Saccharomyces cerevisiae S288C: one gene and its partners. The gene in region 4 interacts genetically with the main gene of each other region. Each region holds a gene or a part of one and is shown on either strand. Other genes may lie near its edges. The genes, in order: ELG1, RRM3, VID22 and MUS81.

Region 1 (4,654 bases), on a different chromosome or scaffold from region 4:
GAGTAGGGTAGAGTTTTCATCCTCGTTTGGATGGATTAGTTCTTTTAAGTTCATTTTATTTCGGATGTTGATTAAATCAGTACCAATTTTAATACGTTCAGGATTTTCAATACACTCCTCGCTCATAGCAGTGATATTCAGCTTTTTATTGTTCTTTGTGACCAATTGTGATCTACAAATTTCTAGCTTTTATCAAAACCACAGTACTTAAGAAGCTAAATCTTTTATAAACGCCTTATCATTCACGCTTTATTTGTAATTCCCATCAGCCATTTTTTTTCAAGTTTTCGCATATTTTGCATTTTTCGCTGTTTTGAAATATGCACTATGAGGAAATAAAGGCAACTATTAGAAGGAATTTAGGATTGTGCTGCATTTGCTTAATGCAAGGTTGCAGAATTTATTGATATATAAAGTAGTAGTATATTTCCCCGCACTACCATGCTATATTTATTATACATACGTGTTCCTGTAACGATGCACGCAATTTCATATCAGTGTTATTTGTTCTTTGAAAAGCCTGAGTGCAAATGCTCCCATTTTCTCACGACTATGCTCGGATCAGCGTTGAACCATACGTTTTTCAAGACACCCTCTTGTGACAACTGATAGACCAAATCTTTGTATCGTCTTTCTGATACATTTTCACTATGCAACTCAAATATTTGTTTGTTTTCATTCTTGACATTGGCGTCACTTTTAGCGATTTCAAAAACGAAGGGATTGATCTCCGCTTTAATTTGTTGAGTTGTGGCGCTCAGCAGATCAATCTCGGCATTTTCGTTCAGAGTTTCATCATTATAAATTCCTTTGAATTGGTTCAAAATATCAGAAATTTTCTTCGAATTTCTCGTCCTTCTTGCCGACTGAAGATGGTCATACTTCGGTATTCTTGACGCCAAAAAATTTAATGTAGATTCTGTCATTTTTTTGAACCTGTTAACAAGGTATTCGTTATCAAGCCTATGGTTTGCTTCTCTAACATAGGAATACCGAGCTTCCAATTGTTCTTGGATGTGTTGGTAAATATTCAATTCAAACGGTAATAACGGTTGTCTATTGGGGTCATTTAAATGCAATTTATAATCTATCACGTAATCAAATTTTAGTTTCATTTCATCATCCAGATTTTGATCCTGGAAAGTATTAACTTTTTCTGGGGTCATTGTGGTAGAATCTATTTCTTGTCTAACCATGGAACGATTGAGCGTTGCTTGACCAATAACATCATTTATGGAGAGTAGATCAGTTAATTGCGATATATCTTTAACGCTTGAACCAAGAGTTGATGTTAGGACCGGTAGTCTGTTCTTGGATGAAATCAAATCAGCCTCAGTATCAACGCACCAAAACTGCAAGTGCATCAAGCACTTCCTAATATCCGCATTATTTTGTTTTACAACATCGCGAAGCCAGTCGTCACAAACTTCGATTTCAAGGGACTTTAAATATTTTGTTAGAAACGCATAGACTGTGGATGTACTAATTTTCTTAGTATGAAACAAAGAGTTTTGTTCACTTGCCAAGGCAATAAGTTCACTAGGAACTAGTGACAAATCCTTACAAGTCAATACGAGGGGCCTTCGTGAAAATTCACAAAGCTTGCTGATCATTGCCCAATATCCCCTATCATGTTCTTTAAATAAAACATCAACATCATTAAATAAAACAAGCCCGTAGTCACTTTTCCTTTTTGAGGAATCTTTGACATAGTGTGTGGTGGTAAAATCTAGTAGGATATCAAGCAAATCTTTTTTGCTCCTGTTCATGTTTGAATTAACTTCATATATCTGGTAAGAATTATCGTCGCCAGCAATCTCTCTCATGATTGTCTGTATCAGCGTTTTCTTGCCTATTGAATTTCCGTGTAATATCATTAGTGGAACAAATTCGCTCAAGCTGCTATTTGCTTCGCCATTTCTGTAGAAATCTGGACGCAAGTTTTCGTCTTCTTCGAGATCAGGTACAATGAAGTTGGCAAGCTCATCACCAGATCCCTGTTGTTTATTGGGATTTATTCTGTTCAATAGACGGTTCCTCAAGGTAGGCTTTTCTAGCGTATGAAAGGATGTTTCAATCCAATTTTTGATTCGAAGTTTCAATTTGGGTTCAATTAATACTTGTTTTAAAGTGACAGGCTTGAATAGCTGCGGCCATGTGAGAGTTGTATTTCTTTTAATATTTGTGCCAAGTAATACCGGTGCTTGATAGCGAACAGGAATACAAGATGCTGAATTCTTGTCTTTCAACGATTCATAGTCACTAGGAAGAAAATTATGATTTAATGGCGGTATTGTGCGGAAAGGAAGCGGGATATCAACACTCCGATCTGACAGCTCTTTGTCACCTACTGGGAAAATCGATTGATGTAATGGTAATGGTGGCTCTATTTCATTTAGTTTAGAGATGCTATTTAATCTTTTGAACGTGTCGGTTGTCTCATGTTTAAGGAAGTTTTTAATCTTTGATGCTCTTTCATTAAGAAGCGATGATTTGATTCTCGATGTGGAAATTATAGAAATATCATCTTCATGCTCCTGCGAAAGTGCAATTTTGCTACAATTAGTCTCACTTTTGGGACTCTTATCACTGATTACAATAAGATCATCATCGTCGTCATCGCATTTTTCTTTTGTGCGTTTCGTCATCAAAAACTCCTTTGCAGATTTGTGATTAGTAGAAACAGCTTCAATTGGCTTCACAACAGAGTGGTTTAAAAATATTACTGAAGAATCGTCATGTTTGGCTGTTCTGGCGTCAAAAGTGCCTGATTCAGTATCATTTTCGTCATCGATGGTAATCTGTAGAGCATCTTGTCTTCTCACTTTTCTCTTATTTCCTGTCAATATATCAGATAAAGACACGTGCCTTTTCATTGGAAAACCTTCTCTGATTCAAAAAGTTTAATGCTATGGTACCATACGATTTAGTGCAGCGAAGGTGGTCAGTGAAGACGTTAAATACATGAAGCAAATAGCCGGATAATAATACTAAACTAATTTATCACCGCTAACGTTACGCGTTTGGCGTCCTAAAAAAAAGAAGGAAAAAAAAACCTATTTATTCACTCTATTTCGCCATAAAACGACATATAAATATTATACAGATGATGAAAGCCCACAAATTATGTTTAGTAGCGTTCTTTTAATCTAGATGCAACGGTACGTAAGTTCCCATAAACTTTACCTGGAGGGGAACCCAAAATTAAACTAACCACAGATTCTCTTGCCATTCTGATGTGGGTGAACCCGCCCAAAATGTGGATTTTAGAGTCAGCTAAGACAATTCTTGTTCTTGTAGCGTTTTCAATCGCAAATTTCGTTTTACCGTCTTTACCGGCAATACGACCGATGGCTCTCGACAAATGGTCACCTGTTAGAGTCTTGACATCTTTGACTTCAAAAGTCTCAATATATAAATCATCTAGCCTCAATAGTGCGATAGAATCGTCAAGATCAAACCCTAAGGTAAAGGCTTTGATAAAATCGGCCCCTTTTTGCAACGCACCAGGGTCTGTGGTAAATTTAGGATTCGTTCTTAGTTCTACGGATTTGGTCTTTAAATTCATTCTGACTTGCAGCTTCAAGTGCTCGACCAAAGGAGGATAAATTTTTGTCCAACTGTTCCTCAAGGGTGTCATTCTGTGTGGTGGAACCATGATCTTTCTCGATTCAAATTTTATTTTGTTACCCTGTGTTTTGCTAGCTGAAGTGAAGCGAGGTTTCCCCTGGTCATCAACCACTACGGTCTTAGATTCGTGCGTTTTCCGGCTACCTTCTTCGCCCTCTACCTCTTCTTTTGCTGTGTTATTGTCGGAATCATCTAACAGAACGTCGTCATCATCGTCCTCATCGATGCTTTCGGTATTATTTATTCCTATAATTCTACTACTGCCCCCATCTTGTCCACTTACAGGTGTCACAGTAGCCTTTTTCAAAGCAGTAGGCGCAACCATAATGTAGTTTATTTTCACTTCAAGTCTTTTTCTTAACTAAACAGAAGAATATTGAAAACTGCCTATTATTGATGCAATATGTATCTTTCATTGTGATGAGCATCGGTATGATAATAAGGAAAGAAGAAAAATTTTTTCCCGCTCGCACTTTCCGTAAGAGGTGATAAAAAACAGACCTAATACTGTAGTAATCTTAACTGCATTTAGCCCTACATTTATTATTTATGACCTTACTCTTCATATGTAGGTTAAAAAATTCGTATAAAGACACATTTGACTTTTTGTCACTTTTTTTTACTTCTCGTTATTGGTTCTAGCTGATCCTTGACTTACTATGGAGGGATGCATATTAAAGTTGACAGTAGATTTGCGTCAAGAAGTATTAAAACAAAAGGCACATACAGATTATCAGGTGGTGGGAGGTTTATAAAATTCATGCTAATCACACGTTTACGGGTCCCTACAATAAAGCGGCCACTGCTTCCAATTACAAGTCATCTCGTAAGACACTGTATTCGAACTTACGTCGCAACTAATCATGGAAATGTCAGACCTTTTATAACACCTTACAAGAGTTCGTTACCTGTTAGATGTTTGATCGCCCAAAGGCACATCCGAACATTTCCAAGCAATGACAAGTTCACTACCAAGGCTTCCAATATTGAGACTATTTTGCTGAGAAAAAATAATGAGCGAGAG
Region 2 (4,400 bases), on a different chromosome or scaffold from region 4:
ACGGAGATAGAGAAAGGCACTTGGTATGCAAGAGACGCAATCGTAGCCACAATCGACTGAGCGCCCAAGGCATCGGTGCCCAGATGGGAAGCGAAAATTGTCAACACTTCAAAGCCGAGGAACTCTGCCTCCACCATCACCACGCCGGGAATAGCTAGGTTAATCATCTTACGCCAGTTCTTAAATGCTTGTTCCTTAGGGATGATACCATTCCAGCATTTGAGTGGTCTCTCCTTGTGCTTGGTGGTCATTGCGTATATTAGTAATCCGAGCGTCATCAACCAGTAGTTGATCACAACCGATAATGGCGCACCAAGGTACCCAATCCCAATCTTGTCATTCCAAACAAGTAAGTAGTTCATCAATGCGTTCAAGGGTGCGCACACAAAGAGCACGATTGTGGATGCATGGAATATACCTTGACATTGTAGGAACCTCTTACCACATTCAAAAAGGATGAATCCTGGCACACCGAATGCGGTTACACGTAGATAGTTAGCCGCTAGCGCGCATAGTTCTCTCTCCGGAATCATTAGTGCTAGGATCTTTTCCGACCAAACAAACCAAACATACATCATTGGCAAGAACGCCAAGATGGTGATCACAGCACATCTCTGCACTAGCACACCCACCAAGTGGTAGTTTTTGGCACCGTATGCCTGCGCACACAGTGTGTCCAGACATGTACACAGACCTTGAATAGCAGCAAGACCCGTGATGTTAGCAGTCATAGAACCGAGTGTAACACCACCTAGCTCTTTCGTCCCTAAATGTGAGACGGAGAAAATAGATGCTAGTGACAACGAATTTTGCAAGATAAAGGTGAAGATTAGCGGCAACGCATTCATCGTGATCACTTGCGTTTCTCTCTTAAAAGTTGTGCTGATTTTCTGACCACTCTCGATCGCGCTCTCCCACGTATTTGCAATCTCAGCTGGTCTTTCTTCCTCGTCCGGTCCAATTGCTTGGCCATGTCCGTGACTTTCTATATCTCCCCCACCGTTGCCGTGTTGAGAGAGCAGTTTGTTGTCTATTAGCAGGTCCCGTTCTTCGTCAAGCAACCGCTTACGGTCGTGAGAGTCATAACCTTGTTGCCACGCTTCTTGTTGCAATGTCCGCGAATTGTTGGCATCTAACAACGAATGGTATTCACCTTCCCTCTCCGTCTCATCGTCATTGCCGGTATAGGAAGGTTCTTCTTCACTACCCTCTTGCTCTTCGCCCTCAATTAAGTTTTCTTCTGACTCCTGTGGGATGTAGTCTGCAGGCGTGAAAAGCCCTGCCTTCCCGACACTGGTGGAGTAGATAATCGATGATCTTCTGTCGTTGGTGGTATGACTAAATTGTTTAGACATAGTCTTCTTTCGTCTTCTTCTTCTATCTTCTTCACCGCTAACACAGACCCTTGACAAATCTGAAAAAGTACTTTTTAAGCCGGTCTATCTTCCCTTACCGGATTTATTTCTTTTGCCAGGGTTCTTTACTATTTTGTAGTTATCATAAATTTTTTTTTTCTTTTTAAGTTGCCGTGCTCTTCTATTTTTTTAGTCTTTTTTTTTTTTATTATTTTTTTTTTTTTCATTTTCCCTATAACGGGGCTAACCCGAATGCGCATGCATTATTCCGATATTATTACGTCAAAGAATATGTAAATAAACATCATCTCGAACAATAAGCAGAGGAGAACAAGCTCAAAAGTCGAGAGATTTGTTCTTATAAGACATCCCGATGTTCAGGTCGCATGCCTCCGGTAACAAGAAGCAATGGTCTAAAAGATCCTCAAATGGTAGCACACCTGCTGCTTCGGCATCTGGCTCTCACGCATACAGGCAACAAACGTTGTCTTCGTTCTTTATGGGTTGCGGCAAAAAATCTGCTGCTGCTTCAAAAAACAGCACGACAATAATTGATTTGGAAAGCGGTGACGAAGGTAACCGTAATATAACAGCACCTCCTAGGCCAAGATTAATACGGAATAATTCGTCTTCCTTATTCTCGCAGAGTCAAGGTTCGTTTGGAGATGATGATCCCGACGCAGAATTCAAAAAATTGGTAGATGTGCCGAGACTCAATAGCTATAAAAAGTCTAGCAGATCGCTGTCGATGACCAGCTCTCTTCATAAGACTGCCTCTGCGTCCACGACTCAGAAAACATACCATTTTGATGAGGATGAGACTTTGCGAGAGGTTACTAGCGTGAAATCCAATTCTAGACAATTATCGTTCACTAGTACAATTAATATTGAAGATTCTAGCATGAAACTTTCTACTGATTCAGAAAGACCAGCCAAGAGGTCTAAACCTTCTATGGAGTTTCAAGGTTTAAAGCTCACAGTACCAAAGAAAATAAAACCACTGCTAAGAAAGACAGTATCAAATATGGACTCAATGAACCACCGAAGTGCGTCTTCGCCAGTGGTACTTACAATGGAGCAAGAGAGAGTGGTTAATTTAATCGTCAAAAAAAGAACAAATGTCTTTTACACCGGTAGTGCGGGTACAGGTAAGTCGGTCATTTTGCAAACGATCATAAGACAATTGAGCTCTTTGTATGGGAAAGAATCAATTGCAATTACCGCCTCAACTGGGCTAGCGGCAGTGACTATTGGTGGTTCCACATTGCATAAGTGGTCTGGTATAGGAATCGGGAACAAAACTATCGACCAATTGGTGAAAAAAATACAATCACAAAAGGACTTATTGGCCGCATGGAGGTATACAAAAGTTTTGATAATTGATGAAATTTCTATGGTCGATGGTAATCTGTTGGATAAATTAGAGCAAATCGCAAGGAGAATTCGGAAGAACGACGATCCCTTTGGTGGTATTCAATTGGTCCTGACAGGCGATTTTTTTCAACTACCACCAGTTGCTAAGAAGGACGAGCATAACGTTGTGAAATTTTGTTTTGAAAGTGAAATGTGGAAACGGTGCATTCAAAAAACGATTTTACTGACAAAGGTTTTCAGACAACAGGATAACAAACTAATTGATATTCTAAATGCCATAAGATACGGAGAGCTGACTGTCGACATTGCTAAAACAATAAGGAACCTAAATAGGGATATAGACTATGCCGATGGAATTGCTCCTACAGAACTGTATGCCACAAGAAGAGAAGTTGAACTATCCAACGTAAAGAAATTACAGTCTCTACCTGGTGATTTATATGAGTTTAAAGCTGTAGATAACGCGCCCGAGAGATACCAAGCGATACTAGATTCTTCATTAATGGTGGAAAAAGTTGTCGCATTGAAGGAAGATGCACAGGTAATGATGTTGAAAAATAAGCCTGATGTAGAATTAGTTAATGGATCATTGGGAAAAGTTTTGTTTTTTGTTACAGAATCGCTGGTGGTGAAAATGAAGGAAATTTACAAGATTGTGGATGACGAAGTTGTCATGGACATGAGATTAGTGAGTCGGGTCATTGGTAATCCCTTGTTAAAGGAATCAAAGGAGTTTCGTCAAGATTTGAATGCCAGGCCATTAGCTAGATTGGAACGTTTGAAAATCTTGATAAACTATGCAGTTAAGATCTCTCCGCATAAGGAAAAATTCCCCTATGTGAGGTGGACAGTGGGTAAAAACAAGTACATACATGAGCTCATGGTCCCAGAGCGCTTTCCCATTGATATTCCCAGAGAAAATGTCGGGTTAGAAAGAACTCAGATTCCATTAATGCTATGCTGGGCACTGTCCATTCATAAGGCACAGGGTCAAACTATTCAAAGACTAAAGGTCGACTTGAGGAGAATTTTCGAAGCCGGCCAAGTTTATGTTGCACTGTCAAGAGCGGTAACTATGGACACCTTACAGGTCCTAAACTTTGATCCAGGAAAGATTCGCACCAATGAAAGAGTAAAAGATTTCTATAAACGTTTAGAAACTTTGAAATGACTTGCAACGAATAAATGCATATACTCTAGTTGAAGTTTTCTTTTCTTGTTCTATACAGGTTCGAATACTTGTGAGCCTATCTGTATAATTTAACAGAATCCCGAAATATTCATCTAGAAGCCATCTATTTAGCTAAGCCTACGTATGCGGCGATTTTTATATTATCTTTTTTTTTTTTTATAGAAGACTGCGAAATGTTGGCAGAATGGAAAGTTTCAGTGTTAAAAATAGAAACTGAAAAAGGAGATCTAGCCAGGAATATATCGAAAAAAAAAGTGAGGGAAATCAGATCCTACACAAATATTTAGATTTAATTGAAGACCCTGGTCTGCCAGATATATATATATATTAGACGAACTGTGCATTCAGTCAGCAAATCTAGGCCACAGATTTTCTTATTGAAGCTATCAAAATAGTAGAAATAATTGAAGGGCGTGTATAACAATTCTGGGAGATGGCTGATAAGATAGAGAGGCATACTTTCAAGGTCTTCAATCAAG
Region 3 (5,101 bases), on a different chromosome or scaffold from region 4:
TCCAAATTATTCAATTTTTGATTGACTTGGTATTTGTTTACTTTGCTACCTATACATTCTATGCTCACAAATACTTGGACGGTATTTTACCAAACAAGGGTACTTGTTATGGTACTCAGGCTGCTGCTGCTTATGGGTATTTGATTCTAACATCTTATTTGCTTTTGTTTATTTCCTTCTACATCCAATCTTACAAGAAAGGTGGTAAAAAGACAGTCAAGAAGGAATCTGAAGTTTCCGGCTCCGTTGCATCCGGTTCTTCTACTGGTGTCAAGACCTCTAACACCAAGGTCTCTTCCAGGAAAGCTTAAATAGGAAGCGAGAATTTTTGACAGCGAATGAAAAAGAAAAAAATTAAATGTTAACATTTTCTTTATATTAAATATGTACGATAAATGAAATCATTATTATAGAAATGATAGATTATTGGCTTGGTGTTTTTCCCATTTTGATTAATCATTTCCTTAGCTGCCCAAAGAATTGCACGCTTACAGTGAGGAGTAGTGATACATTACAATTATAAAATAAAATTATATAGCAGCTAAAATTTAAAACAAACAGACTTTGTTCCTTTGTATGTCCTATGGAAGATACTGACTTGCAGTTTGTAAAGTGTCCAAGTCGTAATCCACTTTACTTGCCACGAATTGATCATTGAATAATTTAATTTTAATAATCTCTTGAGTTAAATCGGGATGTACTCTGGGAATGAAGTCATTTAAAAATGAGTACTCTCCCCTAATGGAGGAAGATGACTGACATTGCATTATCTTGAACAAAATTCTAATTATCGGCCCAGCATCATTATCTAAGTATTGGGACCAGAACGCGTTACACACAGGAACATGGATATCAAGTAACTCTTCAATGAAGTTCATTGGTTGTTCTAGCTCTCCAATAATAGAGTCCTCTGTTATTATTCTCTTCTTGAAACGGCCACTATCTCTAATGAAATTGCTTTGTTCACAATACGACCTGTAAGATATGGGTACGATGGAGTTTACTGTACTCAAGTAATCATATAAGTCCTCTTGAATGATTTGTAAAAAGATACTATCTATTTCCTTTGATATGGTAGAGTCCGATAAATGATGGGTATCGCTAAGAGAACCAAATGATAGGTTATTATTGCTATTCTGTGGTTGTTGTTCCGGTAATACAGAATTTTCTCCACCAGTAGGATCTATATCTATTCTTGATGCGGGCGTATTTGAATTCGAGTGGTTGTCGTTGTCGTTATCATGTTCGTTATCATTATTGTCGCTGTTGTTGCCGCTTCTATTGTTGATGTTGTTCGTCTGATTATCAGTGTGAATGTTCATGTTGCTATGATTGGAAGTATTATGACTGTTGTTAACGTTGCCTATTGTGTGTAAATTCAAAAACCTTTTCAATAAACTGAAAATTGATGTAGAAAGTTTGTCGACTATTTCAGAAAGTGAAATGGTATGAAAAGAATATTCCAGGACTTCTCTTTCGAATAAAATCGCAGGACACAAGAACATTGCTAAAAGGTTCATATCGTCTGAAAATAAAATGGTTTTGAATTCTTGAATTTTAGACAAAAATGTTTCAAATGGTGCAATTAACCGTTGAAATTGTAGGCTGCCCAAGGTGGACAACAGATGCTTTTCAATAGACATTATGGCGAACAAAACATAGGTAAAGTTTAAGCTTTTGGAAGAAGTAAAGAACTTTAGTATTCTATTGATGGAATTCAAAGTAATTAATAAATAGTCTATTATTTGAAAGTCGATTTCGTTGAATTTTTCAATTTGGATAGAAGATTGATATTCTTCTATTATGGGACGAAGGTTCAAAAAAGTTTGCAGTGAAACGGTGGCGGTAGAGTAACGGGATAAATCGAATTTCGAACAAACGAATTCGAAGCCAAATTTTTCACACAATGAACGGAATTTATCTAACTGCCACGAATTAGATTGTAAATCATCCAAAAAAGAATTGATTCTGGAAAAAATGGAATTCGAAATATCTATATTTGACAAATCAATTAGAGAGTCCAATAAAGTCAAAGGTTCTTTGGAGAATGATGATTGTCTCGGATGCGTAATATCGGCGGATTTAGGCGTACCGAACAATGGCAATATCGCAGAATTTATTATGGAAATAATGCAATTGTGATAATAGTTTTTAGCATTCGTATACGTATTCGGGAAAAAGGGTTGGCTATCCATTACGTTTAGTAGATCTACTATTTGAGATCTTGGTAGAGTGATAGAAATCACAGTATTTTGTAAACCAGGTAATTCTTGTGAGATTTTGAGCAGTTGAGCTGGAATAGATAGTTTGGGGTCATTGTTATATTCATGTAAGTTTTGGATGATAAGGGGTAAAGTCTTTACTTGGGAATGAAAATCATCATAGTACTGAATACTCAATATAGATATCGTGTTATTCCAAACGGAGTGGCTTAGAGAGAAAAAATTGATTTTTTGCATTTCAAATAATTGGTTCTTCAACCTGTTTGATAACTGATTAGATCTATCGGTTGGGTCCATTAGTAAGTAGTTTTTGTCGATAATCAACGACAAATCGGAATTGTTTCGCAAAGCTGTCCTTTGAATGATTCTATCGAGATTATATGCGATGGACCTGATAGCATTCAGAATTAAGTCATGGTCAATGAAGCTTAGTGAGTTGGCGTTCTGATTGATCAAAAGGCGTACGGCAGTGTTGTCTACGAACGACAGAGGCAAGTTTTCTGATGCAATTATGATCGCAAGCGACTGCACAAGAGGCAAGGCCATTTCTTTTTCCCTAGTTCTCTTCAAAAAGTCCTCGTCTATTTCCAGCAGGTTAGCAATGCTGTTCGTTGTGGCGCTACCGCCTTGATGGTTCTTCAAAGGTGGTCTGACCATAAAAGTAGAACCTGCTTCTACGCCCGTCCATCCGCTATAGTAATTGGCATTCGGGTCTATCTTATGCGTGCTCCACAAATGAGTTTGCGAGGCTTCCGCCATGCTTATGCTGTTTCCTTGCCGTCTTATTATCACACCGCAGTACTTGCATTTTACTGCCTCCAGCATCTTGTCTACACCCAGAAAATGGCCCAAGTAGCGTGACCTGTCTCTGGTAAGCATATATGCGGGCACCCATTCGCTACCATCCTCTGCTAACGACTCCCTTTCCTCATCTCTATCTCCATCTGTATCTGTATCCGTATTTGTGGCCGTCGTAGCCGCCGTCGCCGACGATACAGTTGAATTCATGGGAGGCAACACCAATCCTCTTTCAGCACTCTGTACCTGTGTGTCCATCGCTCTCATATGTGCTCTCGTGCTTGTTTATCCTGTGGATGCTGCCAGCAAACTCTCTCTTTCCCATCTCTTGATGGTTCATGTTATGTGTTGTTTATTGTTTGCTGATCCCATTCGCGCTTTCCCGGCCGTGGTAAATGACTACACGGTGAATAATTGCGCCATTTTTTCGCCGTTGCGGTGTTTTTTTTGTAGCCGTTGGAAGCATGGCAGTACCATCTGGAACAAAGCAACGGTATAAAGAAGACAGACTGTTGGTAAGCGCTGCATGTTGGTGACAAAAAGTTGGTTTCGAGAAATCAGGGTGGGTGTTTTTTGTGTGGCATGTGCAGCGAGCGATGAGTAATGCAAACAATAGTGCTATGAACCACATCACGTTGCCTCCCATCTCGTCATTTGACAACCTTATCAAGGCAGCCGAGAGACAATATAATGGCGAGGCTTCGTCCGCCTCGACACATCCGACACTGCCTAATATGAACATTAGTAACGGCAGTGGCAGTGCGGGCGCATCATCGTCGATGCTGAGCTATCAGTTGCTTCCGCACTCCAATGATGTGTCCCGGTCGAACTCCAGCTCGAGCTTCCTTCCCTCCGTGCAGCAGCCTACGGAAGGTTCCGCTTCTGCATCGGAAACTTCTTCATCTGCATCACCTTCACGTTCCATTTCACCAATTTTAAAAGTGGCTGGTCCTTCATCTGTTGGCGGTGCCGGGGTGAGTACCCCCCATAGCACCAAAATCAATAAGCCAAGGAAAAAGAAGCAATGTCCAATTTGTCGTAATTTTTATGCCAATCTGACCACGCACAAGGCAACGCACTTGACGCCAGAGGATCGGCCTCACAAGTGTCCCATCTGCCACCGCGGGTTCGCCAGGAACAATGACTTATTGAGGCATAAGAAAAGACATTGGAAGGATGAGATACTGTCCCAATCGGGAGTACTTTCGAACCATAATGATGGTAAGGGAGGATCCGTTTCTCCCAATGATGATGATACCCATGAAAAAATGACACCGATGAATTCTGTCACAGATTATGCACAATTGAAATCGTTGCATCAAATCAAGGGCACATTCAAGTGCCCATTCAACTCCACCTTAATACAATTGGACATGGATATGTACCCGTATAAACTGAAACCTTTAAATTTTGAGACTTCCAATTGTCACCAGACGGGGGTGTTCTCACGTTGCGACACCTTCAAAAACCATTTAAAGGCTTTGCATTTTGAATACCCGCCAGGCACGAAGAAAAAGGATAGAAATGTTGTTCCTGGTAGATGTAAGCATTGCGGCCTGAAGTTCGAGAACGTTGACGTTTGGCTCAACGAACACGTAGGTAAACAATGCGGCTATAAATACCATTGATTCCCGGCAGCATAACGACTTTTCCCCTGTTTTTATTAGTACTAGTAGATATTTAATTTATGTATCTGAGTTTTTAATGTTTTTTTTCCTTCTCTTATCATTCTTCAAGTGCGGCTATCCTTCTGTACTGTGGCCTGCCGTCAACAACTTCTCTGTAGATTATCAGATCCATTCCCTTCATGTATGAATCAGGTAGTTTTGTGGGGTACAGTGTAACGCCGCTTTTCCTCTTGATTGACCACTTATCAACTAAGGTGTTTTCGATACCATTATAGAAGTCTGTGGGAAAACTTTTGGTGATGATCCAGCAGCCCAAAAATTCTCTTAGTTTCCTTAGAATCTTAAACAGTTTTTCAAATTTCGATAAATTTATTACATCATAGTTTTTGTCGCTTTCAAAATTCAAGAAAGACAAATTGTCGATTACTATTCCTCGTAATTGAAAGTTGAAAT
Region 4 (4,019 bases):
TTTTGATTATGACTGTTGGGTTACTTCTTTGCAGTGTAGGTTTCGGTCATGACCAAGTCAATTTACTTTTAATTTCTGTTGTAATTTATGTTGCAGCATATGCTTCTGCGATGGGCAGCGTTCCATGGACCTGTGTGGAATTTCTCCCCTTGAACAGGAGATCATTTGGGGCATCATGTATAGCCTGCACAAATTGGTTGACCAATGCATTTGTTTCAATGACATATCTGAGCACTATTAACACCATTGGTGATGAAAATACAATGCTCATTTTTGCTTTTTTCACAGTTTGTGCCTGGTTTTTCGTATATTTTTGGTATCCAGAAGTCAAAGGTTTGTCACTGGAAGAGGTTGGAAGGGTTTTTGATAATGGAATTGATGTTCATTATGTCTTTCGTACCTACCATTGATGAGTTGTCAAGTGGCATCATAATGCATTGGGGCGGCTTTCAGATATGCTTCTGGTATATTTGTCCGTGAGAAATTAAGGCTTCTTTTCTTATATATGTATATATTAGTTAAAAGAATATCATCACTTTTTTCTTTATAAAACCTTGCAGGGATGACTATATTTCAAATTGCTAAAGTTTACCAAAAGCATCATATATCTTTTCTGAAAGAGATTTAGTAATTTTCTTCGCACCAGGTGCATCTCCCAGTACATTAAACATCAACAATTTAGCCTCTTCTTCCGAGGAGCACGTTTTATATGCCATTAGTATTTTATTCAGGGTAGGAAATATTTCTTGGATGGCTACTGCTTTTTCTAAAGATATACCTTTAACAAGCATTAAAACATGTATAGTTAGCTCACCAACCGTCTTTAGATCGCCTTTTCCCATTAGTTCTTGAAAGCATTCAAGATTATGACAGCATTCAATACCGCCTTTTCGTTCGAATTCTCGACGAAACTGTAGAAGCACCTTTTTATAATCGTCCTTGCTTTTAAGGTCACTTGGAAATATAACTATGAGATCTTTTTGAGAATAGTGATGAGAAATTACAGTATGCAACGCATGTATCTTTTCCACAGTTTCATCCGAATTGCAAGTTCTTATCATGGAGAATTTGTAATACACTAAAATGACCCAAAGCGCGGTCTTTAGGGCCTCATTCATATTTCCAATGTTGCCACTCATAGTCTCCTCAATGAGATAGTATTTGTGTTCACAGCCAGATTTCTCTAACCTATTTTTTTGCTCCATAAACCTGTTATCCCTTATACTTAAAGCTAAATCGTCTAGCCTTTTTCTTTCAACTATGGTGTTGAGCACACACTGCAACCCGGTATTTTTATTCTTGGCAACCCATATAATATCACCCAAAGCGAGTTGCCTTATCTCTGACTTCATACCTTTTCTTTCAAATGCCCTTGAAAAAAACTCACGATCAGATTGTGACTTTATTTCTCTGTGATCAATAATTGGGAAAACTTCGAAATCACCACTACACCACAATTCGTAACTTACTCCGTTGTACCTTCTCCTCTTTATTGTGCTTTTAGCCTTTAATGCGGAATCAGGTACTGTTTGATCATCAGAGACCTCTTCCAATTTATGAGAAGATATATTAGTTTGGCTATTCAGTCTATCATTTTTAAATACATTGTTCTGCAGCCTTTGCGGCGTGCTCAAATCTTGAAAAGTTATATCCAGCATGAATGAAGTGTTATTTATATCGCAGGGCTCTTCTTCCTTACCATATTCACCACGGAGGTCAGTCAGATTTGCTGTGAATTCACTACTTTCATTCCTGGTTACGGAATACTCGTTAGGTTCTTCATTTTCTTTTGGAAAAGAGATTCCGTCTGCCGTCTTTAAGCTCTTTGTTAGTTCTACACCTTCCTCTGTTAGCGAATACCGTTTTGGTCTACCTTCCTCAAGAACCAACGAATGTTTTTTAAGTGCAGCAATAGACGACCAAGCACCGTAGAATTCTTTTGTGGAGAAATTTGGAGTCATACAATGGTCACTGTATTTTCCTGCAACCTCGATGATTTGCTCTTTACTAACGCCTCGAGGAATGGCATTAAGCTCGAGTAAGGAAAGAAGGATAGCGTAGCCTCCAGATCTTTTTTTGGGTATATACTTCCTAGTTTTTCTCTTTTTAGTTCCCTTCTCTTCGGGAGCTTCATTCTTATCATTTTCGCATGAGTTTACTATGCTACGCAAAGCTGTAGTAGTCCTCTTTGGTGGTCTGGTGCTACTTGTCTGAGTTAAGGAAGGAGCCTCAACGGGAGATATGTGGTGAATTTTGCAATAGTTCCGTAATTTCGTATCTAATCTCTTTATTATTGTATTGCCAATTCCCTTAACTTTCTTTAGATCTGTAGGATAATAAAATGAACCTTCAGCATTTTGTAAATTCCTTTTTGCTTTTTCATAGGCTATTTTGAGTTGTTCTTGTTTAGGGGTTAATCCGTCAACTAATTCTTGTAACCATTCAATATATAGGTCTTTTAAGTTTGATGAGAGTTCCATGCTTTCATGCTAGGAATGTGTGTTCGTATCAATCCTTTGAAACTTTGTTTACGCCAATGTTGATGCCACTCTTAAAGGGCATTACCGCGATCGGTAAGAAAAGAAGTTGATGACGCGAATAGGCAAAGCAAGATAAATCATAGTAACTATTATACAGGGGAAGGCAGATATCTAATATGGAAATATGATTAAATATGAAATAACACTATAGATGGTAAGTATACGTGAGAATAAACTACAAAAAAGTCAAAAGGACATAAAAGGTGCCCAATACATTACGACAAAAACTGAAAAAGTTAAATAATTAAAAATTGTTTAACCATTCTTACAATTTGTCGTAATATTCTTGCCAGCCTGGAACTTCTTCCTTCATACCGTGTCTCTTACGAGCAGCAAGAACAATTTCACCAGCCTTAGAGGTTGGGTCCAATGGGTCAGAACCTAAAGTGGACCAATGGTCGAAAACCATTTGTGGGAAAGCTTGACCACCAGTAGCTTGTCTCAATTCACCAGTGAAACCGAAAGATTCGTTAACTGGCAAGTAGGCCTTGACGGTAAACAATGGAGTACCTGGTCTTTGTTCTTCAGAAACGACTTGACCTCTCTTCTTGTTTAAGACGGAGTAGATACCACCGACGGCTTGTTCTGGACATTGAATTTCGACCAAGAAAACTGGTTCTTGGATCTTTGGATCAGCCAACAAGAAACCAGCGTAAGTAGCTCTTCTCATGGTTGGGATGATTTGACCACCACCTCTGTGGATAGCATCGGCATGTAAAGTAACATCCAAAATGTTAACTCTGACAGATCTCATTTCTTCACCGAAAATTGGACCTTCCTTGGTAGCCCATTGGAAAGCAGCAACAACGGAATCCTTGATTTCGTGCAAGTATTGGACAGCCTTAGTTTGGTCAATAACCAAGTTTGGACCGTTACCGTCTGGACCGAAACACCAGATCTTTCTGGCATCGGTGACATCCCAACCGTAGTCGTCAGCCATGATTCTAGCTCTGGCCTTGAAATCATCTCTTGGGTTGATGATACCGTTTTCAATAGCCAAAGAGACTTCTTCGTCAATTGGTTCAGCCTTCAAGTAGATTCTGTTATGCTTGTTTGGAGACTTGGACAAAGCAGTTTGAGAAGATTCACTTTCAACAGTTTCTCTGTAAGCGACAACTGGTGGGGAGATCTTCAATGGAACACCAGCGTGGTCGTGTTCCAAATCTTGCAAACAAATTTCCAAATGCAATTCACCGGTACCAGCAACGATATGTTCACCGGATTCAGACATATAGGTCAAGACACATGGATCAGACTTGGACAATCTCTTCAAACCTTCGACCAATTTTGGTAAGTCGTTAGCGTTCTTGACTTCGACAGCGACTTGCACAACTGGAGAGACAGAGAATTTCATGACCTTCATGTTGTGAGCAGTTTCACTGGTGGTCAAAGTACCAGTCTTCAACAAGAATTGATCGATACCGACTAAACCGATAATGTTACCGGCTGGACAGTCATCGATTGGTTCGACAAATCTAC

Evidence for each region.
Region 1: mutations in MUS81 (region 4) and ELG1 together harm fitness more than expected from each alone (negative genetic interaction), as found in Saccharomyces cerevisiae (8 studies listed by BioGRID, with this or other methods).
Region 2: mutations in MUS81 (region 4) and RRM3 together harm fitness more than expected from each alone (negative genetic interaction), as found in Saccharomyces cerevisiae (5 studies listed by BioGRID, with this or other methods).
Region 3: mutations in MUS81 (region 4) and VID22 together harm fitness more than expected from each alone (negative genetic interaction), as found in Saccharomyces cerevisiae (6 studies listed by BioGRID, with this or other methods).

The regions. Positions count from the first base shown.
Region 1 is NC_001147.6:602,217-606,870, forward strand, and holds ELG1 (Elg1p), read right to left. Parts: upstream 2,877-4,654; coding exon 501-2,876; downstream 1-500. Other genes in the region: THI80 (thiamine diphosphokinase), read right to left, coding at 1-126; PNO1 (Pno1p), read right to left, coding at 3,131-3,955; MDM32 (Mdm32p), read left to right, coding at 4,391-4,654.
Region 2 is NC_001140.6:170,299-174,698, reverse strand, and holds RRM3 (DNA helicase), read left to right. Parts: upstream 1-1,728; coding exon 1,729-3,900; downstream 3,901-4,400. Other genes in the region: ERC1 (Erc1p), read right to left, coding at 1-1,355; mitogen-activated serine/threonine-protein kinase SLT2, read left to right, coding at 4,355-4,400. UniProt on the Saccharomyces cerevisiae protein: 5' to 3' DNA replicative helicase recruited to paused replisomes to promote fork progression throughout nonhistone protein-DNA complexes, naturally occurring impediments that are encountered in each S phase where replication forks pauses.
Region 3 is NC_001144.5:868,081-873,181, forward strand, and holds VID22 (Vid22p), read right to left. Parts: upstream 3,288-5,101; coding exon 582-3,287; downstream 1-581. Other genes in the region: fatty acid elongase ELO3, read left to right, coding at 1-311; STP3 (Stp3p), read left to right, coding at 3,617-4,648; PSY3 (Psy3p), read right to left, coding at 4,746-5,101. UniProt on the Saccharomyces cerevisiae protein: Has a role in the negative regulation of gluconeogenesis. Imports fructose-1,6-bisphosphatase (FBPase) into the intermediate vacuole import and degradation (Vid) vesicles. This is an indirect role and requires cyclophilin A.
Region 4 is NC_001136.10:1,244,545-1,248,563, reverse strand, and holds MUS81 (Mus81p), read right to left. Parts: upstream 2,481-4,019; coding exon 582-2,480; downstream 1-581. Other genes in the region: CIN10 (Cin10p), read left to right, coding at 1-410; EFT2 (elongation factor 2), read right to left, coding at 2,806-4,019.